Callithrix jacchus: one gene and its partners. The protein of the gene in region 2 interacts with the protein of the main gene of each other region in a pairwise test. Links are inferred from orthologs where the notes say so. Each region holds a gene or a part of one and is shown on either strand. Other genes may lie near its edges.

Region 1 (3,704 bases), on a different chromosome or scaffold from region 2:
TGGTTTAATACCTGCAGAAGCCTACCTGTCTCTCCTAAGAGATATTCAGAAGATATTTTTGAGTTTTTTCCCATTGCTGTTGGGGTTCCTTTTTCATAGGATTTTGTCTTGGGAAGTTTCTTCTGGCCGTTTCTAACATGATTTTTCTTTTTTCTCCTCTAGTCAGCCTTGTCCAAATATGATGCCACTAAACAAAAGAGGAAGTTCTCTTCTTTTTTTAAGTCCTTGGTGATTGAACTGGACAAAGACCTGTATGGGCCAGACAACCATCTGGTAGAAGTGAGTAGTCTGCCTTCTAGGCTTTGACTCTGATTGAAGGATGAGATGGACTTGGGAGCCATATTTGAATGTCTAAGAAGGGGAGATAGAAAGTAGTCACTCTGGGTGTACACAGTACTACTCCAGGTATACGGTTTGCACATTGACCTCTAGGTGGCACTAGCATGTTTAGTTAGGACCAAGGGCTCTTGTAATCTAACTCGTCTCATCTTTTAATGTTACTATGCTGGTCACTGCGGCCTCTTTCAAGGGAAATTTTACTGGTGGCCTCTTGTACATGCCAGGCCATCTCTGCATCTTGCTTGCTAATGATGGTGAGACGTAGTTATCCATGCACCAATCATACTTTTTCCTGGTAGCAGTTGCTGTAATTAGAGGGATTGACTGATAGGGTACTAGTACTTGCCAGGGTCACCATCAGGAACTTCCTCTTGGTCTCTGCTCCATTTAGATTTACATTCCAATTCACCAAAAATCCTTTATTAAGATGCCTGATTGCACGCCGTTTTGAAGCCCATGTTAGCAACAGTATTCTTTGGGATACAGGCAAAACCAAATGATAGTCCAGCCAGCACTCCAAGTGAATTTAACCTGCTCCTTTCTTTGCCAGTGTAGCTGCAGCCCCTTAACCTCAACCACTAAGAGACATGGAAAGGTCTTTACCACCTAATAAGGGAAGTAAGTCATAGAATCAATAGAAATTTGTAAATATATTTAACTTAATTTTATAGCAATAGAGTATAGTGGTTAAGAATGTGGACTGTAGAATCAGACACACCAGAGCTCAGATCGCAGCTCCACCACTTACTGGCTGTTTGACCTAAGCAGGTTACTTTGTTCTGCTGAACATTAGTTTTCTCATCTGTAAAACAGGCATAAGTGTGCCTATCTTGTATAGATGTTTGGAAAGTGATAATCCAGGTAAATGTCTTAGAATATTCTTGCACAGGTACTCAGTAAATGATAGCTATGTTATGTTACTGTTCACATCTGTATTAGCCATTTTGTGGATAAAATTATCACTGGACATTCAGGCTTAATTGAATGTAACCACAAACAGAATTAAAAGGTTAATCTACTTATACACAGACAGTAATCCCAAAGCCATATGCAGTTTTTAAAAATGCCTCATGCTATTGCTATTACTCTTCTCCAGTAGCCTCAATAATCAAAGTTGAATATTCAGTCATTACAGAAGCTCTTCCCTCCCACCCCAGCTCTTCCTCTGGGAGAGCACCCCCTGACATCTTCCTCTCTGTAGTGGCACAGGACCGCCACTACCCAGGAGACCGACGGCTTTCAGGTGAAGCGACCGGGAGATGTGAATGTACGGTGTACTGTCCTACTGATGCTGGATTACCAGGTATTCTGTGGTGGTGTGAGGGGGTCCAGCTTTCACAGCCACATCCAGTCAGCAGTCTCCCCTTAAAGGGTTTACGTCTAATTGTGAATAATTTGTCACTTTGGCATAGAGATAAGAGTCTTAGTGATCTCTGAGTTCTTCCTAGAATGTTTCTGTCCCAGAGAAATCTCTACATTGTTTGTTGAATGGCTTGAATGTATTACTGCATATAGACCCAGCTAACTGGCTTCATATACCCTTTGGTTCCCTGCAGCCTCCCCAGTTTAAATTAGACCCCCGCCTAGCTCGGCTTCTGGGCATCCACACCCAGACTCGTCCAGTGATCATCCAAGCACTGTGGCAATATATTAAGACACATAAGCTCCAGGATCCTCATGAGCGGGAGTTTGTCATCTGTGACAAGTACCTGCAGCAGGTAAGTAATGGACACATTGCTTTGCTAGAATCCATTAAGACTACTAGTTATACTCAAAATGCTAACCTCAGGTGCTTCTGCCCTTTGCTACAGATCTTTGAGTCTCAACGTATGAAGTTTTCAGAGATCCCTCAGCGGCTCCATGCCTTGCTTATGCCACCAGAGCCTATCATCATTAATCATGTCATCAGGTAGGCCTGTGTGTGAGATGCAGTGCTGTGCTGGAGCTGCCTTCTACCGACTTGCACAAGCCAGTTGTCAAATTTTCAGGAATTTTGCAAACAGGTTGTTAAACAAAGCTGTTATTTACAATTAAATTATATAAACTTATAATTAAATATATTAGACTAAAAGTGGGTAACATAAACTCAAAATGTATTACTTCCTCATTATTACATTTTATTATATTTATGCTCTTGAGGTTATTTTTGCCTATTGTATTTGCTTGTTATATTTGCCTATTTTTATCTGGTGGAAATATGATATAATGTGTTTATCTGTTACTGCACATCTCTTCCCAACTCTGAACAGTAATGTGATGTTGGTAGCTTGAAATCAGAATATTTAAGCTCCGGAGATCAGCAGATGCCACACACCTGGGCTCTTCCTCCTGTCCTCCTTTGGAAGATCAGTTGTTAAGCATTTACCAGGTCTTCACTGACAGAAGGGCTCAGGGCCCATCTTTTCTCTGGGTGGTTCAGCATTCAAGTCTGAGCCTCCAATTACATTACTTCTATTCACTTTTTTGTTTAGAAGATGGAGAGCAAGGCACTTCTAGGCAGATAGGGAGTGAAAAAAAGTCGTTTCTTCTCAAAGCAGTGTGTCTCTGTAGTTGGATATAGTCTCCTTGCCTTCCTTTCTTTACTCAGTTTTAATTCCAGTAAGGGGTTTTTTTTTTCTTTTGACCCTGAACCTACAAGATGATAGAGAGGAAGATTTAAAAAAGAAGATAAGGCCCTGAACCATCACTAGTAGTAACTCCTCAACCTATAAATTAGGTCAGTAGAAGTTGGTCTGTCCTGTATTCCTGTGCTTAAAGTTAGACCACTTAAATTTTGTTTGACTTTCATTCTGGGGTCAATTTTAGTATAAAAAGGAGGAAGCCAGGCACAGTAACATGTTCCTTGTAGACCCAGCTACTCCAGAGGCTGAGGTGGGTGGATTGCTTGAGCCCCAGAGTTTGAATCCAGCCTGGGCAACGTAGCAAAATCCTGTCTCTGAAACAATGAAACAGGTTTGTTTGTTTAAACATAAAGACTCTCACTCTGTCACCCAGGCTGGAGTGCAGTGACACGATCTCGGCTCACTGCAACCGCTGCCTCTTAGGTACAAGCGATTCTCGTGCAAGTAGTTGTAATTATAGGCATGTGCCACCATGCTGGCTAATTTTGTATTTCTAGTAGAGATGGGGTTTCACCATGTTAGCCACGCTGGTCTTGAACTCCTGGCCTTGAGTGATCTGCCTGCGTTCGCCTCCCACAGTGCTGGGATTATAGGCATGAGCCACCACACCTAGCCAAAAAAGTTTTTTAAATTACTATTATTTTTTTTTTGAAACAGAGTTTCTCTCTGTTGCCCAGGCTGGAATGCAGTGGTGTAATCACGGCTTACTGCATCCTCAATCTTCTGAGCTCAAGTGATCCTCCC
Region 2 (3,568 bases):
TTTTAGTAGAGACGGGGTTTCACCAGGTTGACCAAGATGGTCTTGATCTTTTGACCTCGTGATCCACCCGCCTCGTCCTCCCAAAGTGCTGGGATTAGAGGCTTGAGCCACCGCGCCCTGCAGAAATATTTGTTAAGATCAGGGTTTATCTTTATGGGTACACGTGCCCAGGATCCAGGATTTAATGTTAGCTGGAGCATCTGAGAGTGACATAAAAGCAATATACTATGTTGGCTATTTGGAGCCTGAACTCAGCAGCTACACATAGGCAATAAGGATTAAGGGGCAGAACTTCCCTGGTACAGTGTTAAGGAATCTGAAAGCTCAGATAATTGGGAGCATTACATCTCTCTCTCTCTCTCTCCCCCCTCTTCCAGGTTTATGACTGTTGTTATGGTCTAATTATTAATACTGCCTCTTTGCCATCTGCTCAGCCAAGCCTTACCCATGCCATTCTGGAGGAACCAGAGGACATACCCTTTGCCAGGGCTTTATGAAATACATTGGTGAAGGGAACATCAGAACACTGACAGAGCCCTGAGGTAGCTGTCGCCAACAGCCTGGAGATGACAGCGGGGAACCCTGATTTCCATGGGAATAATGGTAGACAGAGTGACAGTGTTGGAGGCCAGTGACAGCACTTAACCATTAAAAGACAATCATTTCTTTTTTTTGTAGTGCTTGATATTTATTGAAAATAATGCCAATGCTTTTTCCAGGTAGTATTGAGGAGCTGGGCTGAGTGCTTGCTTTGTTCTTAGTATTATTTGTCCAAATGCACACATCTGGGGGACTGCTGCAATTTTGAAAGTAAAGTGACAGCTGTGTAAAACCAATGCATAGGAAAAAAGAAATGTCAACAATTTGGCTGCCAGGCACACCAAGCCCCTGCAGCAATCTGGTGGGGCATGGGAGGACCCTCAGAGTGGGTAGAAAACTAACCAGGCTGAATGATTGGCCCCTTCATGGGTTGGTGAGCTGTCCGAATCAATGTCCGAAGAGGTATAGCCAACTCTGGCATCTTCCAGGTTGGTCCTTACTTCGAAAGGCGGTAGTATGTAGGTGGGATGTGGTGAGTGGATGTGAAGTGGCAGCATAGTTCTCTGGGCAGATGTAAGCCTGGCAGTAGGGTAGGTGGCAGCAGCAGGGCTATGGGTGGTATGACCAATTTATAATGGGGGCATGGCCAATAACTGGGGCTCAGGACACAGTTCGGATTAGCAGGGGAGGGATTCAGGGGCTGGCCAGGGTAGATGACACTTCCAAGCATTTCCGAGTGAGTGAGGCTTCAGCCCCAACCCCAGCAGCAGGTAAATGGAGCACTATTCCTGGAACAAAGACAAGCACTACGGAGAAACGAAGAGAGAGAACTGAAGGGCGCGAGTAGGGAAGGGGACCAGAGGGCAAGGCGGAGAACAGTGGCTCCCGGCGGGGTGAGGGCTGGAGAGAGGGGGTGGCGGCGTGCAGGGCCCTCCCCGCTAGGCCTGAGGGTCTAAGGCCTAGTAATCATCCTCTTCGTCGTCGTCGTCGTCTTCATCGTCATCCCAGCCAAAGCACTGTTTCATCTCATCGAGGAAGGCCCGGTAATCACCTAGGATGGGGCTATCCATCTCGATGTAGGGCACCACCCACTCCTCGGCTTCCCCGGTGAGGAGGCTGATTAGGAATGCCACCTTCATGGCGTCGTTGCAGAATCGGTTCTCGTTCACGAGCATGTAAGACGCCGTCTGCACGATAAACTCGGGGAGCCGGGAACTCTCGCCATTAAACGTTTCGGGGAAGGGCACCGGGCAGCTTGGCGGACGTACCTGGCGCAGCAGGCTGGCCCTCTCGCACACCAGCAGCCGCAGCTGTTCCATGAGCTGGCTGTTCTCGATGCTCAGGGCGCGGTGCCGCATCAGGAGCGCATGCAGCAGCAGCACCAGCTCATCCACCATGGCGAACGGCTTGGAAGTACAGGGCTCGGCTCGGTGCGGCTCGGTGCGGCTCGGCTCGGACAAGGTGCGTACGGAGGCCTCGCAGGAAGTGCTTGTCCACCAAGGCGCGCGAGGGCCAGGGGCGGGGGGCGGGGGGGCGGTGCGGTGCGCGCCGGAGTCCGGGAGGCTACGCAAGCCCCGCCCACGCGGCCTTTCGGACGGACGGTGCGCCGGCGCGGCGCGGGAGGGGCGTGGCCAGGCGAGGGGCCGCGGAAGCGTGGGGGCGTGGCCGGGATGGGAAGAGTGTAGACACACAGGGCTTGGCTAGGACTAGGATGCGCTGGGTTGCTGAACCACCGGCTTGTCGTAGCCCTCTAGGCGGGCAGTTAAAGGCTGCGGTCGGCTGTCAGAGCTCCTGGATGTGGGGCCTGAATTAGCAGAGGACCTGGCGAGCGCTGAATCCGGTCTCAGAGAAGGTACACTTGTTCAAGCTGAAAAGATTAACCACTCTTCTACCTAGCCAACTCGCACAACTCAGTGTTCCTTCGTGGGTCTGTGGCCACTAAATTCTCTTGGCGCGATGTTTTATTAACACATTTTCTTTCTTGTTTAAATCTCACTTAGCGAAGTATTGACACTGCTGGCTGCACTGTGGAAGTCACACTTCCTTTCAGGGTCATGAAGACCCTCAGGGGGTCCTGCCTTTCATGAAAAAGGCAGTATTTAAACAGTGACTTATTTAATTGGGAAATAATATGATATACCTACCTTAAAAAAAAAAAAAACCTAAATAGCAAGATATAAAAAGTTCTGCAAAATCAGCATCCGATAACCAATTGCAGGCATCCCACACATTTTATTCTCTATTTCTTGTTCTGCTACTAGTGCCATTGGCCACTGGGTATTATTCTCTACTTAAAAATGAACTGTGAAGATGTGAGTGTTTATAAATAATTTTCTTTTTCTACTTTAAATGGATCTCTGATCCTAGAGCTATCATGAATTATTGGCTCTGCTTTCAAATATATTGCCAATTCAATCATGTCTTGCCATTTCTACCACTGCCACCCTGATCCCCACCCAGCCTTTCTTTCTCACACACTGCTGCAACTAATCACTTAGCTTTCGCTTTTTTCTACCTATAGTATATTCTCCATAAAGTAGCCACGGGAATCATTTAAAACAAAAATTAGATCCCTTCACTCCCTTGCTCAAAATCATCCAAGTTTCATCTCAGAATAAAGAGCAAAGTTGCAGCCAAGGTCTACAAAGCCCTTCCTTCTATCCTATGCCTCTTCCCATTTTCTGCTATGCTCTAATCACTGTCCTTGCTGATTCTCACACACGTCAAGTAGTTCTGGCTTTGTAGCCTTTGCACCTTCTACCCCTTCTGCCTTGCAAGACTTGTCCCAGTTGGCTGCCTGACTCCTTCACCTACTGCTTTCAAAGAGAACTTTTCTGGCCACCGGACCTATCAGAGAACCCTGTTCTCTGCCACCAATCTCTAACCCTTGACTCTGCTTCATTTATCTACATAACATTTACTGTGCTACTGGCCAACATGTCAAATAGCACTTTGCTCATCATCTGCTTCTATTTTGCAATATATGTGTCAAAGAAACACTGCCTTTGCTACCTGCTGTATCCCTAAT
Region 3 (4,485 bases), on a different chromosome or scaffold from region 2:
GAGGCAGCCATAGAGCATTTGTTCTCCAAATACCTGGGGAGCTTCAAAACACTGATGTCCACTTCTGACCCTGAGAGCTGGCTCTGGGGTTGAGCTTTGAATTGAGAAGTTTAAAAGCTTCTCTGATGACCCTAAGGGACCCACTGCCCTAGAGAGCTAATGTTTTGATGGAAGTTCCTGCTTATGGGCTGAGGCAAGAACTCTAATGTCCCTCCTACACTCAGGTCTGGGACTGGGGTAAGATGAGTGAGGCACCCACCTTGGTCATTAAGGTTAAGGGGAAGGAAATGCCACTCAGTAATCAAATAATATTTGAACACAATATTTTAAGAAATCAAAATTAACATAAATAATTCACAATGAATAAAATACAAACATTTTCAATAAAGACAGGATCTGTAACTCTGCCCTGTGGAGCCATGTTGGAGCAAAAGATAAAAAAATGATACTGACCCTGCAGGCTACTGGGATTAGCTCTCTGTCCTCCTAACTTCTGGGGCTAAACAGCCCAGCTAACGGTCACCAGAGCGGGGGCTGCTCCCCAACCTCTGCGAGCCCCTCCTGCTGGCAACTGCTGATCCTGAGACCAGTGATGGGCAGGTCCACCTTTGCCCTTAAATGGTTCCAAACAAGGTCACTGCAGTCCTTTAAATAAATTAACCAAAACCATAAGAATAACCACAAAACACGTTTATTAAGTGCTGTTTTACAAATATTAACTCACTTACTCTTCAATCTTATGAAGTAGGTGCTCTTATTTCCTTTTACAAGTGACTAAACTGAGGCACAGGGATTTAATAAGCTTGCCCAAAACTACACAGCGAGGAGGAAGCTACGTCAGGAATCAAACCCAGTCAGTGTGGCCCACAAGTCCATGCTCAAAACCGCTAAGTAAAAAATGTGCCCCCTATTCTAATTTCTGTCTCACAGTGGGCCCAGTCATGGTTTCAACACAGCTCAGCAGAGCAATGCAGCAAATCCAGGTAGCAACACTGAAATACACAGAAAAGACCACCCAAGCAACGAAAGAATAACATCAGCAAACAGAACAACTAATGTGAATCACGAGAACCCTCTGTCTTTATTACACTTGGGGGAAGAAATCAAGTCACGGTGACGGGTTTGATTTCTTCCCCCGGTTTTCACACTGGCAGGTGGGCATCAGCGGATGGTGTACTTGTCCCACTTCTTCTCGGGGTCATAGGGCTCCCAGCGGCTGGCGGGGAAGATGTGCTTGTTCTTCTCGTACCAGCTCCGCAGCACCACCTTGCCCGCGTGCGACTCATCCTTCTCCATGGTGGCGTCGCTGAGCAGCCGCACGTCATCATGCACGTCGAAGCTGAAGAGCGGCCCGCTCTTGCCCCTCGCCCTGGCGATGATGAAGTCGTAGAAGGTGTGGTAGTGCGGGAGAATGAGGTCTTCCTTGATGTACATGAGCTGCTCCACGCCGGCCGAGCGCAGCTCCAGGAAGTCCTTGCGCAGCCCCTGCAGCGCCTTCTTCAGGAACTGCTGCACGGTGTTGCCCTTGCGCACGCGCAAGGTGCGCCGGTGGCCCGAGCCGTCCCAGTAGCTGAAGGTGACCTCCATCTCTTCGTCTTTCACCTTCTCGCGCTGTGCCTCCCACTCTTGGCGCAGCTCTTCTCGGAGCCGGTTCTCCTCCTCCTCGCGGTCGCGGTCTGGCAGGAAGCTGGTGTCCACGTCGGGGTCCTTACCCAGGTTTCCGGGGCGCCTGGCCTCGGCCGTGTCAGCCGCGTCGGCCTGGTCATCGAGGTCGTCGAGCGCGAAGGACAGGCAGGAGATCTTGCGCTTGCGCTCACGCCGCTGCTCCTGCTCGCGCAGCCGCTCCTGCTGCAGCCGCTGCTGCTCCTGCTGCTGGCGCTGTGCCAGCTGCCGCTCGCGCTCGCGGACCAGGGCCTCCTGCCGGGCCTTCATGTCATTCAGGGTCACCAGGCCCACCGTGCTGGACTTCAGCTCGGCCTCCACGGCGTCGTAGTGCGCGGAGAACTTCTTGTCTACCTGCGACTTGAGGATGGTCTCCTCGGCGATGCGCTGCTTCAGCACCTCCATCTGCTCCCGCTGCTTCTCGCGCTTCTTGAGGAGGTGCATGGCGCGGCCCGCCTCGCGCATGGTGCCCTTGTACTGCGCCATCGCCTGCGCCTACCCGGTGGGCTCTGCAGCAAGGTAAAAAATGCAGAAGGTATAGAGGGGCTCGCGCAACAGCAGGGAATGCGTAGCAGCGCCTCCTCACAGGGCTTTCGGCCGTGAGGGAAGCGTTCCGGGGCTGGGCCGCCCTGCTAGGGTAACCACCAACCTGGCAGTGTCGCCACGCACCAACAAATGTAAATGCGAATGGCCACACGTAATTGGTGGCTGCCACGCCAGAGCGCAGCGCTGAATTTGGGGAGCGGCATACAGAGACGGTAGGCCTACAGAGCGGACCCTTACCTGCTCAAGCACTCGGTCGAGCGGAGACACGCGGGAGTTGAGCTCCAAGAGAACCACCCACGAGCAGAGGCCCACCCGTGCCAGGTTCCCGTGACAGACGCAGACACAGGAAGTGGAGGCGGTGCCCCCTGGCGGGGAGGCGGGCCCTGAGGAGAGCACCAGGCTCCTGGTAGGGCAGCTGCGGAAACAGGAAGTGGAGGCGGCTCGCCCCCTGCCGGGGAGGCGGGCCCTGGGGAGAGCCCAGGCTCCTGGTAGGGTCAGTGCTCCTGAGGGGCGGGCCAGCGCAGGGAGGAACCTGGCGAAGGCGCCTCTGTTCCTGTCCATCCGAGGCTGCGTGGGCTACTGTTTACGTGCTGTGGGCAGCGCGCCTGCCCAGACATGCAGTGCGTGCGTGCTGAGCCTTCTCGTGGCCAGTTGCAAACACGCAGAAGCAATGTGGGCGCAGCTCAGGGTGCTGTCGCCATCCAAAGAGGCTTGCAACCGCCTTGCAAGGCTGAAGCCCTACTCTCCAACCCTCCTCCTCCGGTGTCTCCTCCTGCCTCTGACTCTACCCCACCGAGACCCTCCCGTGAACATTACTTGCGCACCACTGCTTGTATTCGTTCTTATGGCCCCAACACAACAGCCATTCTTTGATAGTAGAATCCTACTCGCCCCCCAATTTCATGACAAAACCTACTCTGAGATTGTTTGACCTCCTTTACGGCAGTTTCCCCCAAATTCTAGGCTCTAATAACCATGGGAAACTGAGTTAAAGTATAGCAGTGTCTTTACTGTAAGCATTTAACATGCCAGTTTCCGCCGTAACTCTCCAAGAGCAAAGGAAACCAGTGCATGTTTTGTGACCGTCTCTCTCTTCCAGGAGATCTGGTAATACTGAAACCGGTACTTCATGAGACCTAGTTTGGAAAAGCTGGTTGTGAAATATATGCCTGCGGTTCTGCCTTCTCCCGTCTAATAGCAACAATGCCTGTGAACATAACCTTACCAAGAAGCCTGAATCATATGATAAATACATATGGCACCCACATATCCAAAGGAGCATAGATCACGGTATGAGCACTCATCAAATTGTCCAAACCAGAAACCTAGGCGTATTCCTGGAATGACGTTCCTTCACATGTAATCAGTTACAGAGAAGCCTTTCATACTTTTCTTTTTCTCTCATTTCCCCACCACTTGCCTTAATCTAGGAAACTGGCATCTGATGTTTTTCTTTTCTTTTCTTTTTTTCATCTAAAGCCTTGTCATTGTTGCCCCATCACCAGAATACAAGCATATCTCATTTTATCGAGCTCTTTGGATATTGTGTGTTTTGGTTTTGTTTTTACAAATTGAAGGTTTGTGGCAATGCTGCATCAAGCATCTGTTGGCTCCATTTTTCCAACAGTGCTGTGCTCACTTTGTGTTCCTGTGTCATGTTTTGGTAATTCTTGCAATATTTCAGACTTTTTCATTATGATATCTGCTGTGGTGATCTGTGATCAGTGATCTGTGAGGTTACTGTTGTAATTGGGGCATGCCGAAGTGTGCACATAGAAGATAAAGACATTTATTGATTTAATCGATAAATGCTGTGTATGTTCAGACTGCTCCACTCACTGGCTGTTCCATCATCTCTCTTCCTCTCCCCAGGCTTCCCTAGTCCCTAAGACACAACAATATTGAAAGTAGGCTAATTAAAAACCCTACAATGGTCTCTAAGTGTTCAAGTGAAAAGAAGTGTCACACATCTTTCACTTTAAATCAAAGGCTAGAAATGATTCAGCTTAGTGAGGAAAGCATGTCAAAAGCCAAGATAGGCCAAAAGCTAGGCCTCTTTTGCCAAACAGTTAGCTAAATTGTGAATGCAAAGGAAAAGTTATTGAAGGAAACTACAAATGCTACCCTGGTAAACATATGAACGATAAGAAAGCAAAACAGCCTTATTGCTCATGTGGAGAAAGTTCTAGTGGTCTGGATAAAAGATCAAATCAGCCCTAACAAGCTCTTAAGCCAAAGCCTAATCCAGGGCAAGGCTCTAAGTCTCTTCAATTCTGT
Region 4 (4,504 bases), on a different chromosome or scaffold from region 2:
CCATCCTCTGCCAGTGTGGGCTTAGAATTCTAGGCAAAGACCATGCCCCTGACACTCCTCAGGGAACAAAAGTGACTTCACCTAAAAGCAAAGTCCAGACCTTGTCTAAGAGGAATAGACACAACAACGTTGTGTTTTGACTCTTGGCCCAGGGGTCATGTGCCCGGTCCCCTCTGCTTCAACTGTCACACATACTCCTACTTGCTTGCCTGTCAGTCTCTGCGATTGACAGGGATGGGCTCAAGGTCAGGGACTGTGTCTCCTCATCCTTGGCTCCAGCTTCACACAGACCCTGGCACAGGGCAGCAGGTGCCCGGTCAACAGCCTCCTATGGGAGGTTGAGGTGGGGGTTGATCAAGATGCCGTGGACAGGGCTATGGACCAGGAAGGGTGGGATGGGCTGGCTTGTTTGGCATCAAGCAGAGTGGGGTCAAAATCCTTCCCAAGAAAAATGAGAAAGAAAAATAAAACTTTAACCCCCGCAAGTGACTGAACGGACCCCCTCTTGACCAAGGGGACCCCAGAGAAATCTTGAAAAGTGAGTTTCTGGCCATGGCAGGATGGGAGGTTGCATGCACCCTGTGGTGCCCTGTTCCTTGATAACCTCCACTAGACTTTCTTCCCTAAGAGCTAAACAGAAGCCGGCCTTTTCAAAAGACTCCATGCTGATTTCAACCAACTGCTCCACCCTTTTACGGTTTTGACACAAAAACCCACCAGCATTCTTTCTTGATAAGAGACCACCAGTCATGGAGCGGTTCTAGCCAGTCTGCAGAGGATGCACAGTGAGGGTTTTCATGCCCCCTGCTTCCCCTTTGATGTCAGAGGGCTGAAAATTCCACCCTCCGATCACACTAAGGCCAACACTTTTTTGTACACGGGGCCCATAAGAGGCATGAAGCTCAGCTGTGCATGCACATGTTTCTCCTTTCATAAATACACATGACTCCCCCACAGCTTATTGAATATGTATATTTGGCCACGGTGCTCAGCATACATTTCAATTCCCTTTGCCTCTTCCTCAAAGTATCAGTCTCTGGCTTCTGGCCAGAGGCCATGTTTCCCGGCCTGTTGGAATGGCCACCCTGCAGGCTGTAATCTTTATGAGAAATAAAGCTCCCCTTTCCAAATTAACACCACCACCACCCTGCTCTTTCCCCCACTAGCTGCATGACCCTGGCTAGGAAATGACTTCTTCCCTGAGTGTCTCAGCGTTGATGGAATAGGTCATCCCTGGTTGTCTGAAGGTCAGAGTCCCCTGTTTATTGGGGACCCTCTGGGTGTCAGGTAGCGCACTGCACTAAGCATTCACAAGCAACACCTTACTGAACCTCCCACAAAGCAGGTACCAGCCCCATTTTACAGACAAGAAGCTGAGGTCCAGAGGGGTTCAGGTCCTCGCCACAGTAGGTGGGTGGTGGAGCTGGGACTTCGCAGCCTGACCACGCCCCGGGGTGGCAGTACTGGGCTGTGGGTGGAGAGCAGTGAGCTCCTGTGCCACAATCCCACAATCCCCAGAGCTGGTGAGTACATGCAGGCCCCTCCCCTCTTTGCCCCCACTGATCCAGGAGGTCTGACGGGCCCCGAGAAAGCGACTGTTTTCCAAGCTCCCTGCTCCTCCCCGCCCCACAATGCTGATGCAGGGGTCCAAGGGGTGCATTTCCAGAAACACTGCTCAGGCAGTGCTGTCTACAAACCCCCAGCTGAGAGCTCAGGCATAGGAGGTGAGGGATAATAGCATGAATAGAATTCTACTAACAAAGGAGCAGAGCCTCTACACAGTGCCAGGCAGCGTTCTAAACGCTTTCATTCATATAATTTTCACAACGATTTTCCAAGGTAGTGATTATTATTGGCCCTATTTTACAGGTGAGGAAATGAGGTACAGAAAGCTTAAATAACTTGCCCATTGCCCTACAACTGGTAACAGCTGGTTAGCCAACTCATAATCATAATCATAATAATTTTAAGATCTTTCCCCTGTATCCACCTGCATCAGACACTCTCCTGGGGTGTGGGGAAGGGGTACCCTGGGAGCTTTTACTCAGGGAAGTAGAGATGTGTGTGGCTAATACCAGGGAGCCAGAGAGGTTCGGCTGTCCCCAAGTCTGTCCTAGAGATGGAGAGATTAGGATGCTGGTTTTGCCCTGAGCCCCCACCAGTTTTCTAGCTGCACATCTTGGCTGTGAGTGCCAGGAAGAAGATTGGTGGGCAGTGCCAGCTGAAGCTCCCGGGTAGGTGGGTCAGGGCTCCCACTTGCTGGGTTCAGTTTCCCTTCCCGTGTCCGGGGCCCCAACAGGACGCTTGGGGGCTCCTACCTTCTTCCCCTGGGCTGCTCCCATGGCACGAGGTGGCACCAGGCCTGGGTGGGCTGCAGGGACCAGGCTGGGGTCCTTCCTGCTGGCGTGGATCTCAGGAGCCAGGACCTGAGGGGCTCCCGGGGCCAGGGCCCCCTGTCCTCTTGTGGCTCATTCTCCCCGGCACAAAGGCGGCTTTCACAGCTGCTCCTAAGCCCAGAGCGCCTCAGACAGGCTTAGGGCGATTGATCCTGACAGAGGGGCCAGTGTCCCCAGGCGGCTCCCATGCCTTTCTTGGGTCCCTGCAGCTCCTCACCTCCCAGAACGCTGCGTCTCTCAGGAAGGGAAACTAAGGCAGCTGGGAAAGGGGGGAAGACGCGAGGCAGTCCTCTCATCACACACCGGTAGCTCAGGTGCGGCGGGTGACCTCTGGCTGGCCCTTGCTAGGCACTGCTCAGCAGACAGGGCCAGACAGGGAAGGCCGAGGGCTGGCTGAGGTGCAGAGCTCTGGGACGGCTGCGTGGGGATGTCAGCCTCGGCTGGACAGCCCCATTAATAATAGACCTTTGAAGACTCTTGGGGTCTGGGGCTCTCCCACAGCAGGAACTCTGAGAGCAGACGCCTGGGCAGCAGGCTGCCTGGGAGGGCTGGAGGTCAGCTGGTCTGGGCTCAGGCCAAGAAAATAGCTGAAGGCTGGATTCCAGGCCTGGGGCCAAGTTCTCAAAGTGCCCCCGGCAATCACCCTCCTCCTCATTTGCCAGCCCCTTCCTTCTCTGTGATGCCAGCTTGTAGCAGAGGTTAAGCCTGAAAAAACCTTAGGCTTGAACTGTGGCTCTGCCCCTGACAGCTGTGTGGCCTTGGGGGCACGGGGTGTGTGTGTGTGTGTGTGTGCGCGCGCACGAGCGTATGTGATAAGCACTCCCACTGCACATGGCTAAATGAAGTAAGGTGTGTGTGTGCAGCTGAAGCTATCATTTTGTGTAAGCATAAATCAGAGCATGTCACTCCCTGTTTGTTTGTTTGTTTGTTTGTTTGTTTTTGAGATGGAGTCTCACTCTGTCACCCAGGCTGGAGTGTAGTGGCACAATCTCGGCTCACTGCAACCTCCGCCTCCCAGGTTTAAGTGATTCTCCTGCCTCAGCATCCCGAGTAGCTGGGAATACAGGTGTGTGCCACCAAACCCAGTTGGTTTTTGTATTTTTAGTAGAAACGAGGTTTCACCATATTGGCCAGGCTGGTCTTGAACTCCTGACCTCACGATCTGCCTGCCTTGGCCTCGCAAAGTGCTGGGATTACAAATGTGAGCCACTGTGTTTGGCCATCACTCCCTGTTTTATAATCTGTCGCTTCACTAAAGGTGGGTAACAGTTGCCCCCACTGCCTGGGGCTGTGAGGGTAAGCAGAGCATCTAGCGAACAATTCCTCAGCGAAGTTAGGTGCTGCTGTTAAGAACACAAATGATAAGTCCATTGCCCACTGGAAAGTCCCGGCTAACCAGTTCACTAAGCACAACGCCCTTTCCCCAGAGGTGGGCGGGTCGGGAAACCTTGCCACTCTTTCCTTTCCTCTAGCGCGGTGCCTGGCACACACACAGATGCCTCATGGAACCGTAGCTGGAGGGTCAAGAATTAGGCATTCTGTCCAGCCTTGCCAACAGAACAAAAGCCCCCAGGTCCACAAGGTCTGACAAATGGCCTTGCTAGGACCTCAGTTCCTTCTCCTCCCTCTCCCTGGCAGCTTCTGGGTCACAGCACCTTTCCCCTTCCCAGGGCCTTTGCACTTGCTACTCTTTCTGCGTGGGATGTTTCCTCCCCAACTTCCCCTCTGCTCCTCATATTTCATATTTTGATATTTGCATGATTCTCTCCTTTTTATCTCTCAGGCTCCTCAGAGAAGCTTTCTCTGACACCTTCTGCACAGTAGTTCCCAGGCTCTCTGTTTATTACTTTGTCGCAGCACTCATCAGTGACAAAATGATATGACTTCTGTGTCGATTGTCTCCTCTGCCTGGAATGGCAGTTCCACAAAGGCCAGGGCCTGGTCTGTCCTGCTCCTCAGTTTCCCCCCTGGGTCTAGAGCAATATTAGTGGAAGAATACATGATGGAGGATTAAATGAAGTAGTCTAAGCTGATCGAGTGCTTAGCACAGTCCCGGCTCATCACAAGTGCTCGCTGCACGGCACTTCTTAATACTGTTGTTACTGAAG
Region 5 (3,381 bases), on a different chromosome or scaffold from region 2:
CCTGACTAACATGGTGAAACCCTGTCTTAAAAAAAATAAAATAGGCCAGGCGTGGCGGCTCACGCCTATAATCCCAGCACTTTGGGAGGCCAAGGCAGTGGATCACGAGGTCAAGAGATCGAGACCATCCTGGTCAACAAAGGGAAACACCGTCTCTACTAAAAATACAAAAATTAACAGGGCATGGTGGCGCGCACCTGTAGTCCCAGCTACTTGGGAGGCTGAGGCAGGAGAATTACTTGAACCCAGGAGGCAGAGGTTGTGGTGAGCCGAGATTGCGCCATTGCACTCCAGCCTGGGTAACAAGAGCAAAACTCCGTCTCAAAAATAAATAAAATAAAATAAAAAAGCTGGGTGTGCTGGCACATGCCTGTAGTTCCAGCTACTCTGGAGGCTAAGGTGAGAGGATAGCTTGTGCCCAAGAGTTAGAGGTTACAGTGCGTTATGATCACCACTACACTCCAGCCTGGGTGACAGAGCAAGACCTTGTCTCTAATTAAAAAAAAAACAAAAACAAAAACAACCCACCTGTCAGGAGCTCTCATTAGTCACGACTACTCCTACTTTGGTTCAGTACATCCCCACCCTACATACATATGCCCAACACTCACTTCTGGGACCACTCGAGGTTCATGCCAGACTGGGTAGAGAATGCCTGCAACATTTCCTGCTGCTCTGGAGAGAGGGTGGGCACTGGGCTGGAGGAAGGCGTGGGTGCGGGCATAGCGAAGGCTCTTTGGATCTCTTCAGAACTGGCATTCCGCACAAATAGCTCGTCGTTTACAATACACAGCCTTGAGGACAAAGAGCACTTAAAAAGCTGGACAGATATATAATGTCATCCCCCAACATCATTCCTACTCTCAGATTCCTTCAGTATTCACAAGGTTCCCCTCCCACTCTGAGCTATTGTTACCTTTAATCATTTATCTCCTCCCATGGAATCCATGTTTGGAAGGATTATCTACCAAACACACTAGAGTTCTCCCAACACATGGACAGTTCTTAGTCCTTTATTTATCTTCACAACAAATTTAGGAAGTGAATATTGTTTTTTTTTGAGATGGAGTTTCGCTCTTGTTACCCAGGCTGGAGTGCAATGGCGCGATCTCGGCTCACCGCAACCTCCGCCTCCTGGGTTCAGGCAATTCTCCTGCCTCAGCCTCCTGAGTAGCTGGGATTACAGGCACGTGCCACCATGCCCAGCTAATTTTTTGTATCTTTAGTAGAGATGGGGTTTCACCAGGTTGAACAGGATGGTCTCGATCTCTTGACCTCGTGATCCACCAGCCTCGGCCTCCCAAAGTGCTGGGATTATAGGCTTGAGCCACTGCGCCCGGCCCGGAAGTGAATATTGTTAATATAAACTTTCAGATGAGGCAGCAGCCTACTTGCTAGAGGTGGAGCCAGGATGAAAACCCAAACAGTACAATTCCAGAGCCGCGCTCCTACCTAGCTCTTAACTACTATGTGAGCTTTCCCCAATTTCCTGTTGCCTTTCTGAAAGCACCCCGAAGACTGACTCTACCCTCCAATTACCACACTGTTGGCCATGGATTAGGACTGGTATCCAATGTGAAAAGCAGAATATTTACCCTGAATTGGTAGCAGGAACAGCAATGAATGTCCGGGTGAAGGCTCGCAAAGAATCCCGAGACTTTCCATCCACTGCAATGAGAACAAGAGCAACGACACCTTAGGATCACTAGTGGTTTACAAACAGCTTCTTGAATCATGGTCTTATTTGATACGAAGAACACTAGCGGGCCAGACAGGGATGATTAAATGTATAAGGGAAGTAGAGGTGGGGTGAAGGGTTGGGCAGAGAGTACAATAATACTAATAACTACTAACCCACTGATAGCATCTGTGTGCCAGGCCCAAGGCCAAGCACTTTGTAAGTTATTTCATTTTACTTCTATAGCACCACTGTGAGATGGCTATTACCCATCTTACAAATAAATAACCTAAGTCTTAGAGGTAATGTTACTTGTCCACGGCCCCACACAACCAAAACCAGGATGGAAACTAAGAACTGCCTGACTCCAAAGTCTTCCTAATCCCCAGGCTTTTCCAATATCCTGTCAGGACAGGCGGAGGGGAGGCCAAGCCAAGATGGCTTGGAGGCAAAATGGGAGAAGGAGTTCAAAAAGAAAATGGGGCCGGCGTGGTGGCTCACGCCTACAATCCCAGCACTTTGGGAGGCTGAGGCGGGTGGATCACGAGGTCAAGAGATCGAGACCATCCTGGTCAATGAGGTGAAACCCCGTCTCTACTAAAAATACAAAAATTAGCTGGGTATGGTGGTGCGTGCCTGTAGTCCCAGCTACTCGGGAGGCTGAGGCAGGAGAATTGCCTGAACCCAGGAGGTGGAGGTTGCAGTGAGCCGAGATCGTGCCATTGCACTCCAGTCTGGGTAACAATAACGAAACTCCGTCTCAAAAAAAAAAAGAAAAAGAAAAAGAAATGGGAGAGAAAGTAGCTGGGAAGCTAAGAGTGCTGAGGTACATTCCAGCTGGGGGTGGGACCATGCTACAAACTCAGGACTTTAAAGATTCTTACCTTCCTTGAAGACCCCATTGACAGAAAAACACAGCAGTGTGCTCTGAAACAGAAGCAGCATCAGGTACAATGTAGACTTCTGAGCGCACCCCAACCATGCCTATTAAATGCCACCCCCATCCCAATTCTAGGCTTCTGTCAGGGCACAAGCAGGAGCTTACTGTCTGGGCGCTTATGTCTACCACGAAGGAATTGACGTCGTGCTGCGTTTTGGGCAATTCGTTGAGGAAGGCGACAACATTGAGACGCGTGTGCTTCAATAGCCGGAACCGCAAGGCTGTGGGTAGAGAAAGCTCAGTGGGGCTGCCACATACTCCTGAGTTTTATGATAGATTCCTTCCCATGCCCTTTTCCCATCCTGTTTTGTTCACATCACACACTTACTAGGGTCTTTAAGCTTCTTCACATTTCTGCTATCTTTGAAATACTCGGCCAAGTTGCTTCTGGGGGAATAAGAGGAAAGGACACGGTGTCAGAGCATTGCTGCAGCAAGTGCTGCCCTGTATCTGCTGGGAAACCCTGTGGTACCAGGCAGATTCTGGGATGTGATACTTACCGGGCAGGGTTTTGAGGAATGAAAGGAATGCTAAGGGAACAACAGGCCCCATCATGGTAGGCATCTAGGAGCCCTTGCCGGTCTCCAGAGTCATAAATAGCATAGTACCTGTGGGAAAAACAAAAAAGAAAGCATAGGCTCTGTGGTCTAGAGCCACAGCAGGACCCAGTACCTCCCAAGAGTGAGCTGTGGCTGAGCACGGTGGCTCATGCCTATAATCCCACCACTTTAGGAGGCCCAGGCGGGTGAATTGCTTGAGCCCA
Region 6 (4,195 bases), about 83 Mb from region 2:
ATTAGCCAGGCGTGGTGGTGGTGGGCACCTGTAATCCCAGCTGCTCGAGAAGCTGAGGCTGGAATATCACTTGAACCCAGAAGGTGGAGGTTGCAGTGAGCTGAGATCGCATCACTGCACTCCAGTCTAGGTAACAGAGCAAGACTCTGTTTCAAAACAAAAAAAGAAAAAGTTACTGTGAAATTCTATGAACATTCATTAAAAGCACAGGATTGGTAGGGGTGGTAAAGGAAACTCACTGTGTCTAAGCTTCATCATGACGACCAGCTTGAAAGCAGGTTCAAATCTGCTTGCTCTCTTCCTGTCAGAATGGGAGAAGCAATTTGAAGACAGCGGGGAACCACAATGCCACAAGCCTTCACCTAAGTCCCCTAAAGGTAAAATGTTAAAGCACATTATGAAGAAGCCATAATAATTAGGAAAACTGGGAGAAGCTGGAGCTAGAGCCTCATATGGCTGAGTCCACACAGGGAAGGGAGTCCACACTACCCAAAGGGAGGGATAGGTCTCAACCTCATCCCGGGTGGAGTCAGTGCCTCAACGCATCAGATGGGGCCTTTGGTCCTTATTCCTCCACACCGTAGTGTTAAACCCTAGGTAGGAAACTAGTGCTAAACCCCTTCACACTGAGGGGAAAGGGGCATGCAAGGATGGTCCATTTCTACATGGGCCAATAATAGTGCCTCTTTTCCCAAGTAGGGAATTCTATATCTCATCTACCTAGGAGAGATGGTGGAGAAGGGGGTAAATAGATCCCAGGAGTCTACCCTGGGGAAAGGGGGCCTGAGAACAGGGATTTTTACCTGCGTGTCTATATGGACTGAGATAAGTACAAAATCTTGGAGGAGGGGGTAAAAAATCTGTGCCTGCATTTGCCTGGGGTCTATACCTTGGTGACTTGAGTTGGGGGGATTACCAACTGTCCCTCTACTCGGGTACAGAGAAACTGGGGAAACTCACAAAGTGGCTGTGTGCATCTCTGCTACATGGGAAAAGAACCACAGATCTGTTTATCTCTAGATTGTGGGGATGGGTCCTGGGTCTCTTTACCCTGGAAAGGGCTGTAGGGCAGGATCGATATGCCTGACACCACAACAATGAAGCTTTGAATAAGTGGGTCTGCACCTTACCTTCAGTGAGTTATTCTGCACCCTTCTGTGGGAAGTAGACTGTGACAGCTTTCATCTTTTATGCTGATTGAAGTCAGCAGCACACTAACACTGAAAGAAATAAGGCCTCTGGTTCTCTGCATGGGTGGTGTGTGGAGGGGGCAGGCAATACAGCTATAAATTAATAGATCAGCCCTAATACTTGGGGGCAGGAGGGGGGATCAATGATTCTACCCTGGGTGGTGAGAAACAGATCTGAGCTCCACTACGTTGGACGAAGGGGAGAGACCATATGCACTGCACTGCCAGGTAATGAATGATATCACTGCCTCTCAACATTACAGGGAGGGGGGCATGCATCGCTGCTCCTGTGGGGTATCTCACTTGCTACATTTAGTGATTCTAAATCCTTGGAGGAGGTTGGGGGATGATGTGTGTCTATGTCAAAGGGAGAGGAACACATCTGAGCCCCTCTACCTCCATGGCACCTCAAGGGGCAGACCTGACTGTCTCTTCATGGATTAAGGTCTGTTCCTGCTTGCTTCGAAGCACTTTGGGTGCCTCAAAAAATTACACATTCGGGGGCAGGCATGGTTGCTCACGCTTGCAATCCCAGCACTTTGGGAGGCCAAGGCCGGTGGATCAAGAAGTCAGGAGATCCAGACCATCCTGGCCAACACAGTGAAACCCTGGCTCTACTAAAAATACAAAAAAATTAGCTGGGCGTGGTGGCACACGCCTGTAGTCCCAGCTACTCAGGAAGCTGAGACGGGAGAATTGCTTGAACCTAGGAGGCGGAGACTGCAGTGAGCCGAAATCGCGCCACTACACTACAACCTGGGCAGCAGTGCGAGACTCCCTCTCAAAAAAAAAAAAAAAAATACACATTCGGTAAAACGGGGGCTACGGAGGTAGGGATCAGATCTGATTTTCCGCAACAGGGACTCACTTTAACCTAAGAGGAGGAGGCAATAGGCTTAGTTGTCCACAACTGTATCTGCAACCACTTTGGGGATGCGTGAGTTGGGGAGTGATACTGAGGGCTGTAGGTCTACACGAATGGGGAGGAGCTGCCCTCCACCTGTGTATTAAATGTTTCTGAGCTCCTCTATACTGGTATGGGGACAGATACATCAAAGCCTTGGTCTGTCCAGAGGTCGGAGGTGCCTCGAGGCGGCTGTCTAGAGCCAGGCCAAGGAAGTGCCTTAAACCGGGAGAAGTCTGCACTGCTCAGCTGAGTGGAAAGAGATGTCTCTATACATAAGATTGGGGTGGATGTCCCCTATGCCTTCGGTGAGTCGACTCCTGTGTATACAGGGTTAACGCAGAATGGAGCCTCACTATCTTGAGGACGATCAACGCTTCACCACACAAGTGAGGTTTGTGCCTCTCTACACAGTGTGTCCCGGATTTACACCTTTCTAGATGCGATGCGGCAATGCCCCTCTCCCAGAGAACTCCACCCCGCGAAAAGGCAATTCGGCGCGTCTCCACGTGTGCTGCGATCCCTGCTCCTCTGCTGGGCCCTTGTAGCCTAGAAAGGATCCGGCTGTTTACCTCTCTATTCCAGGCTGGCGGGCATTTGTGGTTTCACCTTCAATACAGGATCCTAACTGCCCAGTCGTCTACGTGAGCGCACACCGTGAGAAAAGAGAGTAGTTTCTTACCTATACTTCCGGCGGGGATGTGAGAAGAAACAGCCACACGACAACTCGGTTGCGCGAGCAAATGCTCAGGCGCAGCTAGGCTCAGACTTCCGGATCCTAGGCCGGCGGCGCCCGACTCCGCCCACTGTGCGTTCTCCTCGGGGGGCGGGCTTCTGACTGACAGCTCGCGCCCGCCGGTCCCTTCCTCGCTACCACGCTGGCCCCGCCTCCTGGCTGCCCCATAGTTAAGGAAACAGCTGAGGAGGTAGAGGGAGGACAGCGAAGTGACAGGAAGAAGCGGCGGGCCGACTACTGCGGCCATATACCCTACTTGCAAGTCAAAATTTTGTCTGCGGGGATCTGTCTGGGGTTAAATATGCGTACTTCCAAACCTCAGTAACCAGGCAGGCACCATGCCCGAATCAAACAAGGGTGGGGGATGATGTCTTTGTCTGCATGGAAGATGGCGTCAGCAGGGTGTAAGAAAATGGCCGCCTGGGTCACATGTCTGGCCGAGTATTCCCCACCTAAAGTGAATGGTTAGCTGTTCCCAACGACTTTCCCGGGTCCTTGGGCCCCAGACACTCCCTGAGCACTCCCAGCTCTTTATGCGTAAGTTCAGATCTATGGCCAGACCCGACCCGAAATGGAGCAGCACAACTAGAAGCCTCTCCCACCCGTTTGCCTTCTTCCCCTCCTACTCCATCCTTCCCTTAATCACGGAGCAGCGCCTGCAGAAGGGAATGAATTTATATCTCTGGACTGGGGCAAGTAAGGGTTTCTGAAACCATCTCAAGGAGCTAGCTGGGAAGTAAGGTCTCCCCTAGAAAACAGTAAATATTAGTCTGAAATGCCTCTTTCCTGATGGTTTCATTCCAGCCCCTCCTCTTCCTCAAACCTAAACTGTGGGGTGGGGCACAGAGTAGGTGGGACTGTGCCTGTGAGGGTGGGTTTCTTTCTCCACTTCAAGCATGGATGGGCTGAAAAGGACTCCCTCTATCCCTTTACCCCTTACATAAACAGGACTCACTACCTCTCTACATCTTTGGAGGGTTTCTAACCTCTCATCCTAGAAACACATGAAATTCCGCTGGACCCCAAACCAGCCCTGACCACCTTCACCTTTACCCCTGCATTGGCAAATTTTTTCTGCTTCCTTAAGACTTAACTCTTGTCACTTCTATGAAACCTGCCCTGACTTTCCCAGATGAGTTAGAAACCCAGAGCACCTTGCCTATGCAGCTAAGCTAGCACTTATCACTTAATATTGTAGTTGTTTATGTGGCTGTGTCTCCACACGAGAGTGAACTCCCTACAGGGGCTATGTATCTTCAAGCCTTCAACAAGACCCAGGACAAGACTGGTAGGAGGCAGTCTTCAACAAATGGTTTTTTGTTTGTTTGTTTTAAAGACAGGGTTTCACCATGTTGGCCAGGCTGG
Region 7 (3,704 bases), on a different chromosome or scaffold from region 2:
CTAAAATGGGATCTCCCTGAAAGTCTGGCTAATCACGACAGTAATGAAAGGGAAACTGTTGCATTTTACATTTCCATAGGCTACATAGCTAGATATGGCTTAGTTGGGGAGAAAGGAACATGAACCAACCAGAGGGAAGTCTAGAATCCTAGGGAAAAGTAGCATTTAGAAAGGGTTGTACTCCACAGCCCTTACCTCCACTTCATCCCCTTCTGTGATTTCCTTATTATAGTCAGCTGGAGGTGGTAGCCGGACATCTCCAAAAGGAATCTGTCTCTCACTTTGCCAGCTGTAAGAGAAACAGTAATATAAAAAAGCTACTCAGACTGATATGGTTGCCCATTTCTTTACAAAGGGGTTATTGCCTCAGCTGGGCAATTTCCACCTTTCTGGATAATTAGAGACTAAATCCCAGGCCCTCCTCCATAGTGGTGTCTTCCATCTCTTTCTAGACTCTAAATACTGGGTCAAATGCCCCCACCCTCACCAAATTCTCAGCCCTTTCCTCTCCTGGGATCCATATAAGTTTCCCACCCAAACCCTCAGCTCTCCCCACCTATTACATGCCTCATAGGACTCAGCCGCCCCCTCTTCTCCACTCTCCTTCTAGGACCTAGTATGCTGGATTCTCTATTCCCAAGGTCTTACTTGTTTTCAAAGAAGATGGTGACAGAGTCTTCATGGACATCCTTCACAAAGCCCTAGAATGGATTTTAGGAAAAAGTAAAAAATATAAAATGACCTTTTACCTCCACCTTAGCCATCAAGGGAATAGAGACACTGCAAACCCTTAAACTTGAGTTTTAGATAAGGATACAAGTGGTGTAATGAGAGAGCCTGAAAGGCTGCATTGGGGAAACAATATGGGCAGTCACCTAGAAAAAGGAAATTATATTGTCATGGATAGATGTATGTACCACCTGCATCAGAACAGCCTGGAAATCAGTGATCCACTCAGGCTCCCACAGGGGCCTCCCTGTCTGCCTGCCTCCTGTTGTGCTAAGCAGCCTGCCAGAGTTCAATTAAAATACCAACAACATTCAGCAAGGCTAAGAATATCCCATGAGACAGTGTGAGGCTGTCCTGGAACACCTAGAGGACATGAGGATCTGTCAAGAAAGAGAAGGGCCTACCTCCCCAATACAGCAAAAGATCTGAGCAGACTCTCTGCCCTGATGCCTGGGTCCTAGGACAATAGTCAGAACACTAGAGAAGTTCAAAATTTAGAACACAGTTACAGAAGAAATTAGGACTTAAACAAATCCTATATTTTTAATACTAGAATTGAATCTAGAGTGATACTGAGAATTTAAAAAGGATAATAAAATTTATGGAAGACCCCAATCTTGAGATAACGACGAGAGAGAGGAACAGGGATGACTGAACAGCTGATCCATCTACTGTTGTCTATGTCCTAAGAAGGCCAAACCCATGCAGTCAACCCTCCGCTACCAGTTTTTCTACCTTCTCCCTATTTTTCACATAGAATTAGGGATTTCTAATTTTGAAAAAATACAACATGAATTTATTCTTTTTTCAACTGTGCTTTTGATTTCATATCTAAGAAATCTTTGACCAGGCCCCAGTAATCTTTGGGAGGCTGAGGCAGGCAGATCACCTGAGGTAAGTTCAAAACCAGCCTGGCCAACGTGGTGAAACCCCATTTCTACTAAACACAAAAATTAGCTGCATGGTGGTGCATGCCAGTAATCCCAGCAACTTGGGAGGCTGAGGCAGGAGAATCGCTTGAACCTGGAGGCAGAGGTTGCAGTGAGCCGAGATTGTGCCACTGCACTCTAGGCTGGGCAACAAGAGCAGAACTCAAAAGAAAAGGAAAGGAAATCTTTGCCTAATCCAAAACCACAAACGTTTTCTCTTATGTCTTCTTCTTACACTTTTAGTTCTTTATTTTACATTTACATTTACATCTATGATCCATTTTGAATTAAATTTTACATATAAGGTGAGGTATTGATCAAGGTTCTTTCTTAAATTTTTTATTTTTATTACCATTATTTTTTTGAGACAGAGTTTAACTCTTGTTGCCCAGGCTGAAGTGCAATGGCACGACCTCCGCTCACTGCAACCTCTGCCTCCTGGGTTCAAGCGATTCTCCTGCCTCCTGAGTAGCTGGTATTACAGGCATGCACCACCATGCCTGGCTAACTTTGTATTTTTAGTAGAGATGGGGTTTCTCCATGTTGGTCAGGCTGGTCTTGAACTCCCAAACTCAGGTGATCCACCTGCCTCAACCGTCCCAAGTGTTGCGATTATAGGCATGAGACACCACGCCTGGCCTCTTTTTAAAATTTTTTACATATTTTTAAATTAAAAAAAAATTTTTTTTTGAGTCGGAGTTGCACACTGTTGCCCAGGCTGTAGTGAAGTGGCATGATCTTGGCTCAGTGCAATCTCCGCCTCCTGGGTTCAAGCAATTCTCCTACCTCGGCTTCCCAAGTAGCTGGGACTACAGGTGTGTACCACCATACTCAGCTAATTTTTTTTTTTTTTTGTATTTTTAGTAGAGACAGGGTTTCACCATGTTGGCCAGGATGGTCTCGATTTCCTGATGTTGTTTTTTTTTTTTTTTTTTTTATCTTTTTTATTTATTTATTTTTTGCCCAGGCTGTAGTGCACTGGCACGATCTTGGCTCACTGCAATCTCCGCCTCCTGGGTTCAAGCAATTCTGCCTCGACCTCCTGAGTGGCTGGGACTATAGGTATGTGCCACCATGCCCAGCTAATTTTTTTTGTATTATTAGTAGAAATGGGATTTCACCATATTGGCCAAGACAGTCTTAATCTCCTGACCTTGTGATGCATCCACCTCGGCCTCCCAAAGTGCTGGGGTTACAAGCATGAGCCACCATACCCAGTGATCTCCTGACCTCATGATCTGCCAGCCTCAGCCTCCCAACATTTTGGGATTACAGGCTTGAGCCACCTCACCCGGCCTAAACATTTTTTGAAACAGAGACAGGGTTCCGCTATGTTGCCCAGGGTTGGTCTTGAACTCCTGGTCTCAAGCAATCCACCCACCTTAGCCTCCAAGAATGCTGAAACTACAGGCATGAGCCACTGTGCCCAGACCATTTTTTACCTATAGATATCCAGTTGTTTCAGCACCCTTTGTTGAAAAGACTATCCTTTTTGGCCGGGTGCGTAGTTCACGCCTATAATCCCAACACTGGGAGGCCAAGGCAGGACGATCAGCTGAGGCCAGGAGTTTGAGATCAGTCTGGCCAACATGGCAAAATCCCATAGCTACTTAAAAAAAAAAGAGAGGGCCTGGCACGGTGGCTCACGCCTATAATCCCAGTAGTTTGGGAGGCCGAGGTGGGTGGATCACGAGGTCAAGAGATCGAGACCATCCTGGTCAACATGGTGAAACCCCATCTCGACTAAAAATACAAAAATTAGCTGAGCATGGTGGTGTGTGTCTGTAGTCCCAGCTACTTGGGAGGCTGAGGCAGGGGAATTGGTTGAACCCAGGAGGCAGAGGCTGCGGTGAGCCGAGATCGTGCCATTGCACTCCAGCCTGGGTAACAACAGCAAAACTCCATCTCAAAAAAAAAAAAAAAGAGAGAGAGAAATTGTCCAGGCATGGTGGCATATGCCTCAGCTATTTGGGGTGGCTGAGGCACAAGAATTACTTGAAGCCAGGAGGCAGAAGCTGCAGACAGTCAAGATCATTCCACTGCACT

Evidence for each region.
Region 1: the proteins of LDOC1 (region 2) and SMARCD1 interact in binary tests that used the Homo sapiens proteins (3 or more experiments, as listed by UniProt). The two-hybrid records come from large-scale screens. The link is inferred for Callithrix jacchus from reciprocal best matches to the Homo sapiens genes LDOC1 and SMARCD1.
Region 3: the proteins of LDOC1 (region 2) and FAM50B interact in binary tests that used the Homo sapiens proteins (3 or more experiments, as listed by UniProt). The two-hybrid records come from large-scale screens. The link is inferred for Callithrix jacchus from reciprocal best matches to the Homo sapiens genes LDOC1 and FAM50B.
Region 4: the proteins of LDOC1 (region 2) and FAM107A interact in a two-hybrid assay, tested with the Homo sapiens proteins (2 studies listed by BioGRID and IntAct). The two-hybrid records come from large-scale screens. The link is inferred for Callithrix jacchus from reciprocal best matches to the Homo sapiens genes LDOC1 and FAM107A.
Region 5: the proteins of LDOC1 (region 2) and NXF1 interact in binary tests that used the Homo sapiens proteins (3 or more experiments, as listed by UniProt). The two-hybrid records come from large-scale screens. The link is inferred for Callithrix jacchus from reciprocal best matches to the Homo sapiens genes LDOC1 and NXF1.
Region 6: the proteins of LDOC1 (region 2) and GNL3L interact in binary tests that used the Homo sapiens proteins (3 or more experiments, as listed by UniProt). The two-hybrid records come from large-scale screens. The link is inferred for Callithrix jacchus from reciprocal best matches to the Homo sapiens genes LDOC1 and GNL3L.
Region 7: the proteins of LDOC1 (region 2) and FXR2 interact in binary tests that used the Homo sapiens proteins (3 or more experiments, as listed by UniProt). The two-hybrid records come from large-scale screens. The link is inferred for Callithrix jacchus from reciprocal best matches to the Homo sapiens genes LDOC1 and FXR2.

The regions. Positions count from the first base shown.
Region 1 is NC_133510.1:69,493,845-69,497,548, reverse strand, and holds part of SMARCD1 (SWI/SNF-related matrix-associated actin-dependent regulator of chromatin subfamily D member 1), read left to right. Parts: intron 1-162; coding exon 163-279; intron 280-1,540; coding exon 1,541-1,642; intron 1,643-1,895; coding exon 1,896-2,057; intron 2,058-2,150; coding exon 2,151-2,248; intron 2,249-3,704. UniProt on the Homo sapiens protein: Involved in transcriptional activation and repression of select genes by chromatin remodeling (alteration of DNA-nucleosome topology).
Region 2 is NC_133524.1:138,057,614-138,061,181, reverse strand, and holds LDOC1 (protein LDOC1), read right to left. Parts: upstream 2,068-3,568; 5' UTR 1,938-2,067; coding exon 1,500-1,937; 3' UTR 663-1,499; downstream 1-662. UniProt on the Homo sapiens protein: May have an important role in the development and/or progression of some cancers.
Region 3 is NC_133505.1:26,795,888-26,800,372, forward strand, and holds the end of FAM50B (protein FAM50B), read right to left. Parts: intron 2,545-4,485; exon of another isoform or gene 2,446-2,544; intron 2,172-2,445; 5' UTR 2,149-2,171; coding exon 1,162-2,148; 3' UTR 676-1,161; downstream 1-675.
Region 4 is NC_133516.1:40,405,117-40,409,620, forward strand, and holds the start of FAM107A (actin-associated protein FAM107A), read right to left. Parts: upstream 2,908-4,504; 5' UTR 2,343-2,907; coding exon 2,319-2,342; intron 1-2,318. UniProt on the Homo sapiens protein: Stress-inducible actin-binding protein that plays a role in synaptic and cognitive functions by modulating actin filamentous (F-actin) dynamics. Mediates polymerization of globular actin to F-actin. Also binds to, stabilizes and bundles F-actin.
Region 5 is NC_133511.1:120,075,119-120,078,499, forward strand, and holds part of NXF1 (nuclear RNA export factor 1), read right to left. Parts: intron 3,227-3,381; coding exon 3,119-3,226; intron 3,006-3,118; coding exon 2,947-3,005; intron 2,840-2,946; coding exon 2,724-2,839; intron 2,606-2,723; coding exon 2,563-2,605; intron 1,669-2,562; coding exon 1,596-1,668; intron 795-1,595; coding exon 612-794; intron 1-611.
Region 6 is NC_133524.1:54,864,704-54,868,898, reverse strand, and holds the start of GNL3L (guanine nucleotide-binding protein-like 3-like protein), read right to left. Parts: upstream 2,877-4,195; 5' UTR 2,777-2,876; intron 1,221-2,776; exon of another isoform or gene 1,131-1,220; intron 372-1,130; 5' UTR 259-371; coding exon of another isoform or gene 240-258; intron 1-239.
Region 7 is NC_133506.1:74,103,946-74,107,649, forward strand, and holds part of FXR2 (RNA-binding protein FXR2), read right to left. Parts: intron 702-3,704; coding exon 649-701; intron 290-648; coding exon 196-289; intron 1-195. UniProt on the Homo sapiens protein: mRNA-binding protein that acts as a regulator of mRNAs translation and/or stability, and which is required for adult hippocampal neurogenesis. Specifically binds to AU-rich elements (AREs) in the 3'-UTR of target mRNAs.